3 linked regions of the Mus musculus genome follow. The protein of the gene in region 1 interacts with the protein of each later gene in a biochemical or structural test. Links are inferred from orthologs where the notes say so. Each region holds a gene or a part of one and is shown on either strand. Other genes may lie near its edges.

Region 1 (3,903 bases):
CGGTTCAGACCGATGACGTGGTGGCTAAGAATGCTTAATCCTCTAGGGTACTTAGGCTTGGTTCCCCGCACCCATATTAGGTGGCTCACAAGTGTCTGTCACTCTAGTTTCAAAGGATTTGATCCAAAGGTTTCCCAGAACTGCTGCACACAGGTGATGCATATAAACTCATGCAGCACACACACGCATGAATAAAAATAGCAAATCTTAAAAAAAAAAAAAAAAACAACAAAAAAAACCCCCTCCCTTATAAATAATACTAAAAGTTTCAGTGTTGGAAAAGCTAAAAATTTTCCTTTAGGAATCTACTTTAAATACAGCTGGAATACAAATTACAGGCTGGCAAGCCAACATCATTCTAAAATTAAAAATAGTAATTTGTGCATGAATCATGTAAGAGACATGGCGAAAGGGAAGATAGGATAAAAGAAAAAAAAAGTGACATTTCCAATAAATGCCTCTTAACAATTCTTTAATAATGTCTGACAGTAGGGCAAACAATATTGGCAGCAAAAGCCTTGGCATTTATCACTTTCTTAAAGAGACTCTAACAGTTTTCCTTCTCACTTTTCATAATAGAAAAATGTATTACTCACTGTACTGCCCACTGCTAGTTTGGTAAATGGGGGTTGGCACTGTTACAGTGGTGATGGCAGGGGCTGAAGTCTCCTCTTCTGACTTTTCTTCTTCAATCCTTGGCACCCCTGGTGCATCAGAAGATAAGTCATTCAAAATTTTCCTAGAAAAATAAAGAGCTATTTTAATTTTAAAAAAATTCACTAAGTACAAATAGAGATTAGAAAACTACTAACGTATAGGACAAAAATTCAAACACATGAATAAACTCCAAACAAAGCAGGAACTTCAAATGCAAGAATTGCGTGGTGGTGGTGGTGGTGGTGGGGCAGTATAAAAAATAAAACTACATATGTTTATTTTATTTTTTGTGATGTGTTTGGGTGTTTTATCTGCACATGCCTGGTGCCTGCAGAGGCCAGAAGAGGCCACTGTGTATCTTAGACTAGAGTTCCAGATGGTTGTGAGATACTATGTGACCTGGGGATTGAATCTGGGTCCTTTAGACCATCTCCCCTTACTCACTCCAGCCTTCACAAGCCATGTGTCTATGTGTATACATATATGCACATACATACGTATGAATGTATGTATGTTTGGTTTTTTCCAAGACAGGGTTTCTCTGTGTGGCCCTGGTTATTCTGAAACTCACCTTGTCACCCTGTATAGAACAGGCTAGCCCAAATTCAAGAGATCTGCCTCTCTGCTTCCTAAGTGCTGAGATAAAAGGCATGCACCACCACCACCTGGCTTTTTTTTTGTTTTTTTTTCTCTGTGTAGCCCTGGCTGTCCTGGAACTCAGAAATCCGCCTGCCTCTGCCTCCAGAGTGCTGGGATTAAAGTCGTGTGCCACCACTGTCCAGACAGTGTCTTATTATGAATCTCAGGTTGGGAAGATCACAATCCTCCTGCCTTAGCCTCACCAGTACTGGGATTACAGTTACATACCTTGTATGCCTGGCGCTATTATAACATGAAGAAATATTCCTTATTTAGGATTATCGTTGGAAGTTTAAACATCATCAATTTAGTCTCACAATCTAATCTAGCTCCCCTTTGCATGAGAATCCAAACCCACAGCTAAGACATTATTCACACTTTAGTTCTTTTTGCTCTAGATTATATTGGCTGATAAAAATAAATAACTTTACTTCTTCATCAATAAATCCAGAATCAGATATTTGAACAACTTGTTTATTTTGTAAGCTGTCTCAGAGACTTTACAGTTGTCATTACAGTTTCACCTTATTTTTCCAGCCCATTTCCTTTGCCTGCTGTGACCTTTCAAGGCACTCATGCTCCTAGCACCAGGGCACTTTATTAAGCCTGATGGTTCTATCATTTGCAAATCTGATATGCATGGCTTCTATTTTTTCAGAACAATTACTGGTGAAAATATCAAGCCACAAGAGACAAAATGGAGCACCTTTCTGCTGTATACAAATTAACTGCTTTAACCTATTTTGTATAATCAATCAATTTCATTTTTCTAACCTTGCAAGCATACTATAAGCATCTGTTAAATAGCTTGTTATAATCTAGATAGATATAAAGGCTACATTTCAGGAATTCATAACCTTCATATAAATAGTATCTCAGTGTGAAGGTTTAACTCTAAGGTAAGGTAACAGTACCCTTTATAACCCTTTCTCTCCATGCTTTCTTTAGAGAGCTTTCCTTTCATTAGTAAAGCATGGTTGATTTAAATAACTTTTGCTAGGATTTTGGCCAGAGAAATATTAAGACAAACATAAAGCTGGCCTTTGTGTGGGTTTTGTCTGTTTGTTTGTTTAAGTGTGAATGTAGTAGGAGGTCCCTGTGTGGAGGTCATAGAACAATTTGGTGGACTTGGTTCTTGCCTTCCAGCCTTATGTGGCTGAGACTCAGGTCACCAAGCTTGCATCAGCATGTTTATCTGCTGGAGCCATCTGGCAGCTATGATTTGCTTAGGATTTAGGAGAAGTCATGTGACTTGCTTCTTAATACTTTGTTGGATTTGCTTCAGGATCAAAGGTATTACATACTAACATAAGATATACTTCAATGTCTCAAGATCTAACACATGCTATATTGAAAACAAAAGAGAAGCAGCTCACACTGTTTCTAACTCTAGTACTAGAGGGCCTGACATCACTTCTAGCCTCTGCAGGTACGTCATGCACATGGTGTACAGAAATACAAATACTCACACACACAAAATAAAACAAATAGTAAAGACTATACATATAAATGCCTATAATATATATCTTACAACATAAAATTTCTTAGGACCTCAAAATTAATTAACTAATAATATTTGGAATTTATAATTGGATGAGGATTGAAAAAGAGCTTAGTAGTAACTCTAAGTAAGTACATGGAGGGAGATAAGGCAATCAACTACTTTTTAAAAAAAGGAGTAAGGCTAGATAGACGGCTCAGAGGTTAAGAGCACTGGCTGCTCTATTATAAGGCCTGTTTTGATTCCCAGCATCCAGAGTGATTCACAACCATGGGTAACTCAGTTCTAGGGGATCCAACATCTTCTGACCTTTGTTGGCACTATGCACACAACTGGTGTACAGACATATGCAGACAAAACATCCATTAACATAAAACAAAATAAATCTAAAAACAAATAATGAATAGAAATGTACATAAATAGGCATAATTTAAACTAACACAGAAGGTTACTGTAAAATTCTGAAGTTAACGGAATTCTTTTCTTTTTTATTTTTTATTATTACGTATTTTCCTCAATTACATTTAGAATGCTACCCCAAAAGTCCCTCATACCCTCCCCCCCATTTCCCTACCCACCCATTCCCTTTTTTGGCCCTGGCATTCCCCTGTACTGGGGCATATAAACTTTGCAAGTCCAATGGGCCTCTCTTTCCAGTGATGGCCGACTAGGCCATCTTCTGATACATATGCAGCTAGAGTCAAGAGCTCCGGGGTACTGGTTAGTTCATAATGTTGTTGCACCTACAGGGTTGCAGATCTCTTTAGCTCCTTGGGTACTTTCTCTAGCTCCTCCATTGGGGGCCCTGTGATCCATCCAATAGCTGACTGTGAGCATCTACTTATGTGTTTGCTAGGCCCTGCATAGTCTCACAAGAGACAGCTATATCAGGGTCCTTTCAGCAAAATCTTGCTAGTGTATGCAATGGTGTCATCGTTTGGAGGCTAATTATGGGATGGATGCCCAGATATGGCAGTCTCTAGATTGTCCATCCTTTTGTCTCAGCTCCAAACTTTGTCTCTGTTAACTCTGTTAAGGGAATTCTTAAGTAAGCATGAGATTAATAGATAATGTTGTTTCTTGATATACTTAACATGGAACCAATT
Region 2 (3,903 bases), on another chromosome or scaffold:
AAATGCATGGTGCTTCTGTCTCCACTCTGCCGGGTGAGGACAGGTGGTTGTGTTTTGAGATGTGTAAGGTATCAAGGAAGTCCTAAGGCAGTCCAGTTTTTTGGAAGTTTCACAGTGCCTCCTCTTGGTACTGATTTCCAATCTTAAGTTTTTAATGTAGCGACTACATGCAGGATATTTGATAGGTGAATTTCAACCTGATCCATGTCCTAATGTTCACGTGAAGGAAGCTTAACTGGGAGGGAGATGTAGGATGACTCAGTGGGCTTTATTTCCAAACCATGTATATGTTAGATCGTAGTTATCTTCAATGCCTTTTTGAAAGCAGTGAGGGTTTAATGATGTGAGGGGCCTATCTGACTGCAGCTGGCATTTCTCTCGTGTGATACTCAAAGAGTTCAACTTAGAAGAAAATCTCTTTGCTTTCTTTCAGGTACTTACGGTGTGGTGTATAAGGGTAGACACAGAGTCACTGGCCAGATAGTGGCCATGAAGAAGATCAGACTTGAAAGCGAGGAAGAAGGAGTGCCCAGTACTGCAATTCGGGAAATCTCTCTATTAAAAGAACTTCGACATCCAAATATAGTCAGGTGTGCTGTGTTAGAACTGAAGCCACTCTCCCTGTGCTGCTGCACATCTGTTTTAAAGTAGAAATTTTTATGTACTTTCTGGTTCAAGTGGGATGGAGTCCTGCTTTGCTGATGGTGTTTGGAGAATTTGAGACAGGGTGCTAGAATTGGCTAGAGGAGCAAGGCACAGCCCTGGGACCCCTTCCATGGGGAGCTTGCTTAGCTCCTACTTTTAGGGCCCAGGTCCCCAGAGGCTCCTGAGACCAGGGGCCAGGCTGAGGTAGATAAGCTATGCTTTATTGACTTGCTTGGGCTGGGTCATTGAGGACGTTGTCTGGTGGTTCATTAGAATTTCTGTTGGTAGGAGGGACTGAACCCAGGCCTTTGGGTAGAGCTAAGAAAGTGCTCTACCACTGAGCTGTAGCCTCTGGCCTCCTAATATGGGGTTTTGAAATTATTAAGACAGGATATTACTCTAGCTCACCCAGGTTGGCCTGGAATTTACTGCTGTCCTCTAGCTCCCAAGTGCCGGGATTATGGGTTTAAACCACCGCACCCAGTCTCCAGCACTCACAGAATTACCCAGGGTGACCTTGTGCTCACTCCATCCTTTGCATCTAGAGATCCTTGCCTTACTTAGCACCTCTGGTAGCTGGCGTGACCTGCCTCTGCCCCTGGGTTCTAACTGTTGTTGCACTGGGGCTGGCACTAGGGAGCAGCTTTAATCTTCTCGAGCAGCCAGCTTTAGGAGTGCAGGCGGTGTGAGCTAGCTCCTCCTGCAGAGGAGGCTGTGGACTACTGTCCTGAACTTCCGTCCTCAAGTTCTACTTGAGAGTGAAGGTCACTGTTAGCAGTTATGCTGTTGGAAGTGGAGGCAGGCTGCTGGCTGGACTCACGCTTGCTCTGCTCAGCCTGCAGGATGTGCTCATGCAGGACTCCAGGCTGTATCTCATCTTTGAGTTCCTGTCCATGGACCTCAAGAAGTACCTGGACTCCATCCCTCCTGGGCAGTTCATGGATTCTTCACTCGTTAAGGTAAAGAGTTGCGTGCTTTTACTAATACGCTCTCTGAACGTGGGCTCCATCCTTGCGTTTTGTGGCTGCATCTTAGAAAACCTGTAAGGGAAGAGACAGCATTTTATTTTCCTTCCTTCCACCGGATGAGATCATCATCTGCCTGTCTCATTTCCAGAAGGTTCTAGAAGTGAGAAGTAGCGTCTGAGCACCTAAGTGCTACCCTGTGGCTTATGTATCACATTGCTGGGGGCAGGCCAGGCTACAGTGGTTATGTGCAGATCAGCGACAGCAGCCTGAGCCCGGTGCTGATGCTAAGTGGTCTTACTCTGACAAGTAGGCTTTGGTTAATGTAAACATTGTATTTCAGTTAAATTATAATTGTATTTATTGTTCTTTGTGTGTGGTACCGGGTATTGGATCCAGGGCATTGTGTATAATTGGGCAAGTGTTATTCTCAGCAAATGGGTATAGGTTGTAAATGTCTATGGTAAAGGGGTCTTCACCTTAAACCGGCTTTATTTTTCCACTGAACTCTGTGCATGCCTTGAGATGTTCACGTTGACTTTGTATGCATCTAAACCCAGTGGGATCCTTCTGTATGTGCACTGCACACGTTAGTTAGCCTCTCATGTCTCTGTTTCGTAGTGGTTTAATACTTTGTACAGCTAGTAAACCATTTCCACTTAGATTACTTCCTACTTTAGTGATGGCTGCAGTGAGTCGTCATGAGTGGTGGTGGAGGTTCATTCTGCAGCCCAGGCTGGCCTTGAACTCTCATCCTCAAGCCGCCATCTCCCAAGTGTGGGCATTATAAGCATGTGCCACCACACCCACCACTTTATGTCATTTTAGAGGTGGCTTCTTGGAACTGTGATAAAATCTGTGTTTATATTTAAGATCATGGTTGATAGGTCCTCTAAAAATCAATTACTATTTTATTACATTGTTACCAAGACTTGACTGTATGTAACTTTTAAATAGTCTCAGTGTATTATGGGAAGGGTTTTATTACAGTTATTCTATTTGACATTTAACATACTATTGTGTTTACTCATTTTTGCATAACCTGTACATATTCACTCATCTTTCTGTATTTCAGTGGTTTCAAAAGTCATTATTACTAACACACGGTGACTTGCTAGTGGTGCCCACCACTGCCAGTGCTCACACTGTATGGCTATTGCTGAGATGAAGGCTATGGCCTCAGCAAGCAACTTGAGGAGGAAAGTGGCCGTTTGGCTTACACTTGCATGTAACTGCTCATCACCCCAGGAAGTCAGGACAGGAGCTCCTGGCCAGGAACTTGGGGGCAGGAGCTGATTCAGAGGCTGTGGAGAGCCCAGGGCCACCAGTCCAGGGATGGCACCACCCATGATGAGCTGGGCCCTCTCCCAGCGATTACTAATTAAGAAAATGCCTTACAAGCTTGCTTACAACCTGTACTTAAGGAGGCATTTTCTCAGTTGAAGCTTCCTCTCCAATAACTCTAGCTTCTGTCAAGTTGACATAAAACTCTCCAGCAGAGTATTCTTAATGATTTTTTTGTTGTTTTGTTAAAGCCATAATGTATAAGATCAAATGTTTTAGAATAATGTCAATATTTTTCTGCTCTCTCCTATCTCCTAACTTTTCTTAAGTTATGGATAGGGAAAGATTCCTTTGGCTTTAGGATTGGAAGGCTTGGGGACATTTCAGAGGGAAAGTGCTTATGGCACAAGCACGAGGAGCTGAGCTCTGGTTCCCAGGCTCCACATGGAGGTGGTGAGGTGGTGGTGTGGCTCCACATGGAGGTGGTGAGGTGGTGTGGACATCTATAAGCCCAGAGGCTGAAGGACAGAGGCAGGGGCTGCGGGTGGGATGGCTCTGTTGTGTCCCAGGGCCATCCATTTTGATCAAAATGGTGAACTTCAGGTTTAATGAGAAATATCTGCCTGTCACTCGGGTACCTACATTGAAGAGTGCACATGTGTGGGCATGCACACACTAGAGAAGTAGGTTACGAACAAACTTTTACACATTCCCAGTTTAAGCTGTTTTACATATTTTCCTGTTGTCTCAAAAGAGGAAATGCACGTGTAAAGTGACAGAAATGGAAAAGCACAGCTTTATTCAGGATAGAAACAGTTGACACGAGTGCTGAGGAAACTTCTGCACAGAAAGCTAACATGTGACTTAAAGACAGGGACCAAAAATTTAAATGCTCATGTGGGCATAGATACATCTTCGATACTCACCTGTTTAAAGAGGCCTGAAGGGTCTTGTGGTAGCTACATTGTTTTCTCTGCATCATGATTTATTTTCTCAGAACTCCTTTCTC
Region 3 (3,903 bases), on another chromosome or scaffold:
AAGGCTTCTGTTTCTGTGGTCTGGCCTTGAGGTAGTGCCATCGTTCTAAAGGAAGCAGACAGAAGTACAACATAGTTGGGAAAAGCACACAAGAAAAGACGAGGTTTGTTTAGGGTTTGTAGGAAGATGACAACAGGAGCCATGGTAGTGCATGCTGCAAATGGGATGAGATTATAAGGGAGAGTTCCAGAAAAAAAGACGACGAGCCACCTGGCAAGACTTGGAGAATCCTCATGGACTTCTGGAACAATTAATAAACACAGACTTCTGTACTGGGCACGGTGAGATTTCTCTAGTGCCTTACCTTGAATCAAATCTTTAGCCTCTTGGGATACATTCTTCCACGCTTCTCCTTCAAAGGAGAAGTCTCCCTTTTTAATTTTCTTCATGATTTCCACTGCACTGGTGCATGTTAAACTTCTGTCATGAGACTGGAATGGCACCTGCCCTGACAGCATTGTATACTGCCATGGTAAAAGAAAGTTAAAAAAATCAGAATAATTGCAAAAACCACTGTCACGCCATGACAGTAAGCTAATACTGACTCCATGAGCATAACTTACCTGCTACTACAGTAAGCACCAATGGATTTCAGAGACTAATGTCTGTCGCCAAAGTAACATTTCAAAGACTTGCAAAAGGAAGGAAGGAGCACAGCTTTTATGACATCACAATTGAAAATTATATTTATACCTAGAGGAGCCCCAATCAATGAGATCTCACAATTTTTGTTTAACAGCTAGCCATCAAATTCTATAAAGAATAACTTTCTACCTTTAATTGCAAACAGTATAGCAAAAAAAATCAAAGATATAACTACACACATATATGATTTTATATATACATATATATATATATACATACATATATATATATCTGTTTGAACATGTTTTATGTGTGCATATACATATTGACAGAACATGCACATAGGGGAATTATAAAATGCAAATGCAGAAAAATAGTAGACATTCAGAGTTGTATTCTCTTACATTCTCATTTAAAAAAACGAAAACTTTGAGAACAAAGAGAACCATGAGGTGAAGAATAGAACACTTGGAGAAACTGCTGTAATGGGATCATGTGCTAATTCACAGGCATGCTCTGGGTCCTGACCACTGTTTTATAAATATTGTGTTGTGAATGGAAGGTTTGATCTCCCCTAAATTTAGATATGATTATCCAACATAACTGTATTTAGAGAAAAGGCTCTTCTGGAGGTACTGAAGATGAAAGGAGGTTATGAGCGAAGGTCCTGATCCAATTAGTACCCTTGAGAGAATGGACGCCAGAGTCCTGTCTATTCAACCCCGTGCCACAGACGCTGCATAAGCAGAGAGCCAGCAGTCCTCAGAGGGAGGTCTGCACCAGACACCTTACGGCCTTAACCCTCGCAACCCTCTGGCCTTGCACTCTCCCACCTCTAAAACAATGAGAGACTATGTCTCTGATGTTTCACTCGCTTTGCAGTATTATGAGCAGCCCAAGCAGACTGTTAAGCTGGCCAAGCTCTACTTTAATTAGAGTTCTAAGCATTTCAAACAAGAACTGAACATTCTTGATGTACACTAAATTATAATCAAACCACATAGTATATATTTCCTTGGAGTAATGTATTTGATTCAATAAAGATAATTAATTAAAAAACATTCCAATTTATTAAATGCAAGATGAAAGAGGGGCATCTAATTCTAAAGTAAAATAAAGAGCTCCAAATAAATGTTGTGCTTGGTGTGCTTACTGAAGGGAAGTTAGGATCTAGACAGCTGAGACACATTCATTTTATGGGGAAATTAGCAAAACTCTTTTTTGATCATTTGAAATGATCAAAATCAGCTGCTGATTTTGCTCATTTTCTTCTGCAACTGTTTTCTTATGTATCTACAAAAGACGAGGCTTTAACAAACTACAACTGACGTCACTCCTAAAAAAAAAAAAAAAGCAGTAATTTTTTGTAGTATTTGATATCTAATGAATGATCATATTTTGTAATACGAACACTGCATTATGTAAGCTGGGTATATATTATAATTATAGCTATATCAATTAATTATATTTAGAATGTGAATTTAACAAACAATTTAAATTAGGTTTTGTGGAATTAGGATTCAAATAATACACAAATTCTGTACCTTAAGGGTTTCTAGTGCATGGTTTGCACTTTGTATTGTTTGTAGAGACAGGATTTCATACTGTTCCCTAGGCTGGCCTGGAACTTGGAAAGTCCTGTTGCTACCTAGCTGCCTGAGTGATGGGATTATAGGAATGAACCACCAAGCCTGGCCTCATGACATCTTTTTGCTTATAAATCATCTACTGAAAAAACTGGTAGTCTGTACAATACAGTGTGCACTGTAAAAAGAAAGCAGTGCCTGCCGTCTGTGACTGTGACTATGCTCTATGACACCATTAACCTGATTTTTATCCTGTTTTTCTTAAACATATAACCATTAAATCTATTAGGCAGGGCGGCTTCTACCTTGCCTTCCCAGAGGGTTGTTTTCATATACATACATACATACATACATACATACATGAAATTAATATATGTATATGTAAGAAATAATTAGGATATACTTAAGAGCTTGACTACATTTATTTGGATGTCTGAGACTCTTTGAAAACCTTAAAGGAGCTTGATGGTCACAATGGGCCTAAATTTAAAGAACCATCTCTTTTATAATGAAAAAGAAAATACAAAAAATGAAGGGCTCTTTTGTATTTATATGTTTTTAGGACAATGCTAATAAAAATATCATCAACTTAAGTCCTCAAAACTCTGTAGCCTACAGAAGTTGCTTATTTATTTTATTTAAACTTCTTATTCCTAAATTTGTAAGTTCAGTCTGAAAGTGATAAATGATGACTTAAAGTGCCCAGATGAAAGCCATATAAGGCTTAAAGAGCCAGCCTGCAGGGGCAAGTGGCTAGCCACTGGGAAACCCAGATGGAATACAGATGGCCCTGTGAAGGTAAGATGCTGGTTCTGAGGAGTATTTCAGGAACCCTGAATTGAGGGCAGGGCAGTGACAACTTGACATCAAAGCCATGTGCCATGAAGACAAGACTGACATATTTTACCACATGGAAATTCAAAAGCAAAAACACTTCTCCTTAAACTTTTCTAAAAATAAAATCAAGATCCTATTTACTACAAACAAACAAAAAAAAAGGTAAGCCACAGAAACATTTCCAATTATTGATAAAGACAAAGGTTAACTATCTTTATTAGAGCTTTCTCTGTAAGAAAAGCTGCCTAGAGGAAAATAGGCAAACTCATAAGTGGCAATCCATAAACAAAGAAACCAATGTCCACATGTATGGAAGAAGCTCAGACTGCGTATTAAAAGGAACGCCTACCAACATTAAGAACAGTGGTGTGTACCTGAAGGTTAAGATGGGTAACATCCAACATGCTCACATTGAGTTGATGATGTGCACCAACCCTAACAGAAGAAAGTTCAGGCCTCTATGTTAAAATGAAAACAAGGACACCTTCCTGGGAATCTAAGGAACTAAAGGCAAATGCAACTGTGTATAGAGAAAGATTCATCCTTATAGCTTATAATTAGTGAAAAAAGGGGGAGCAAATACTAACAGCTCATTACCAAAAGAATGGTTCAACAAATGTTGGAGACTCCAACTACAGGTATAATATAACATGTAGATTTAATGGTTAAATGTTTAAGAAAAACAGCGTAAAAATCAGGTTAATGGTATCACAGAGCATAGTCACAGTCACAAATGGTGGGCACTGCTATTGTAGAGAATAGTCCCTTGTTTGAAACAAACCAACCAACCAACCCCAGCCACCCTATATACATATGCTGTGTAGACAGGGTAGATTAAAAACCCATGTCCATGCAGTGAGAGAGGGGAGAAGCCTCCATAGCACTGTGCCAAAAT

Evidence for each region.
Region 2: of the proteins of Creb1 (region 1) and Cdk1, one has a biochemical effect on the other in vitro, tested with the Homo sapiens proteins (2 studies listed by BioGRID). The link is inferred for Mus musculus from reciprocal best matches to the Homo sapiens genes CREB1 and CDK1.
Region 3: of the proteins of Creb1 (region 1) and Rps6ka5, one has a biochemical effect on the other in vitro, tested with the Homo sapiens proteins (3 studies listed by BioGRID, with this or other methods). The link is inferred for Mus musculus from reciprocal best matches to the Homo sapiens genes CREB1 and RPS6KA5.

Annotation. Positions count from the first base shown.
Region 1 is NC_000067.6:64,566,970-64,570,872, reverse strand, and holds part of Creb1 (cyclic AMP-responsive element-binding protein 1), read right to left. Parts: intron 740-3,903; coding exon 597-739; intron 1-596.
Region 2 is NC_000076.6:69,342,762-69,346,664, reverse strand, and holds part of Cdk1 (cyclin-dependent kinase 1), read left to right. Parts: intron 1-433; coding exon 434-590; intron 591-1,480; coding exon 1,481-1,604; intron 1,605-3,903. UniProt on the Homo sapiens protein: Plays a key role in the control of the eukaryotic cell cycle by modulating the centrosome cycle as well as mitotic onset; promotes G2-M transition via association with multiple interphase cyclins.
Region 3 is NC_000078.6:100,553,970-100,557,872, forward strand, and holds part of Rps6ka5 (ribosomal protein S6 kinase alpha-5), read right to left. Parts: intron 465-3,903; coding exon 305-464; intron 1-304. UniProt on the Homo sapiens protein: Serine/threonine-protein kinase that is required for the mitogen or stress-induced phosphorylation of the transcription factors CREB1 and ATF1 and for the regulation of the transcription factors RELA, STAT3 and ETV1/ER81, and that contributes to gene activation by histone phosphorylation and functions in the regulation of inflammatory genes.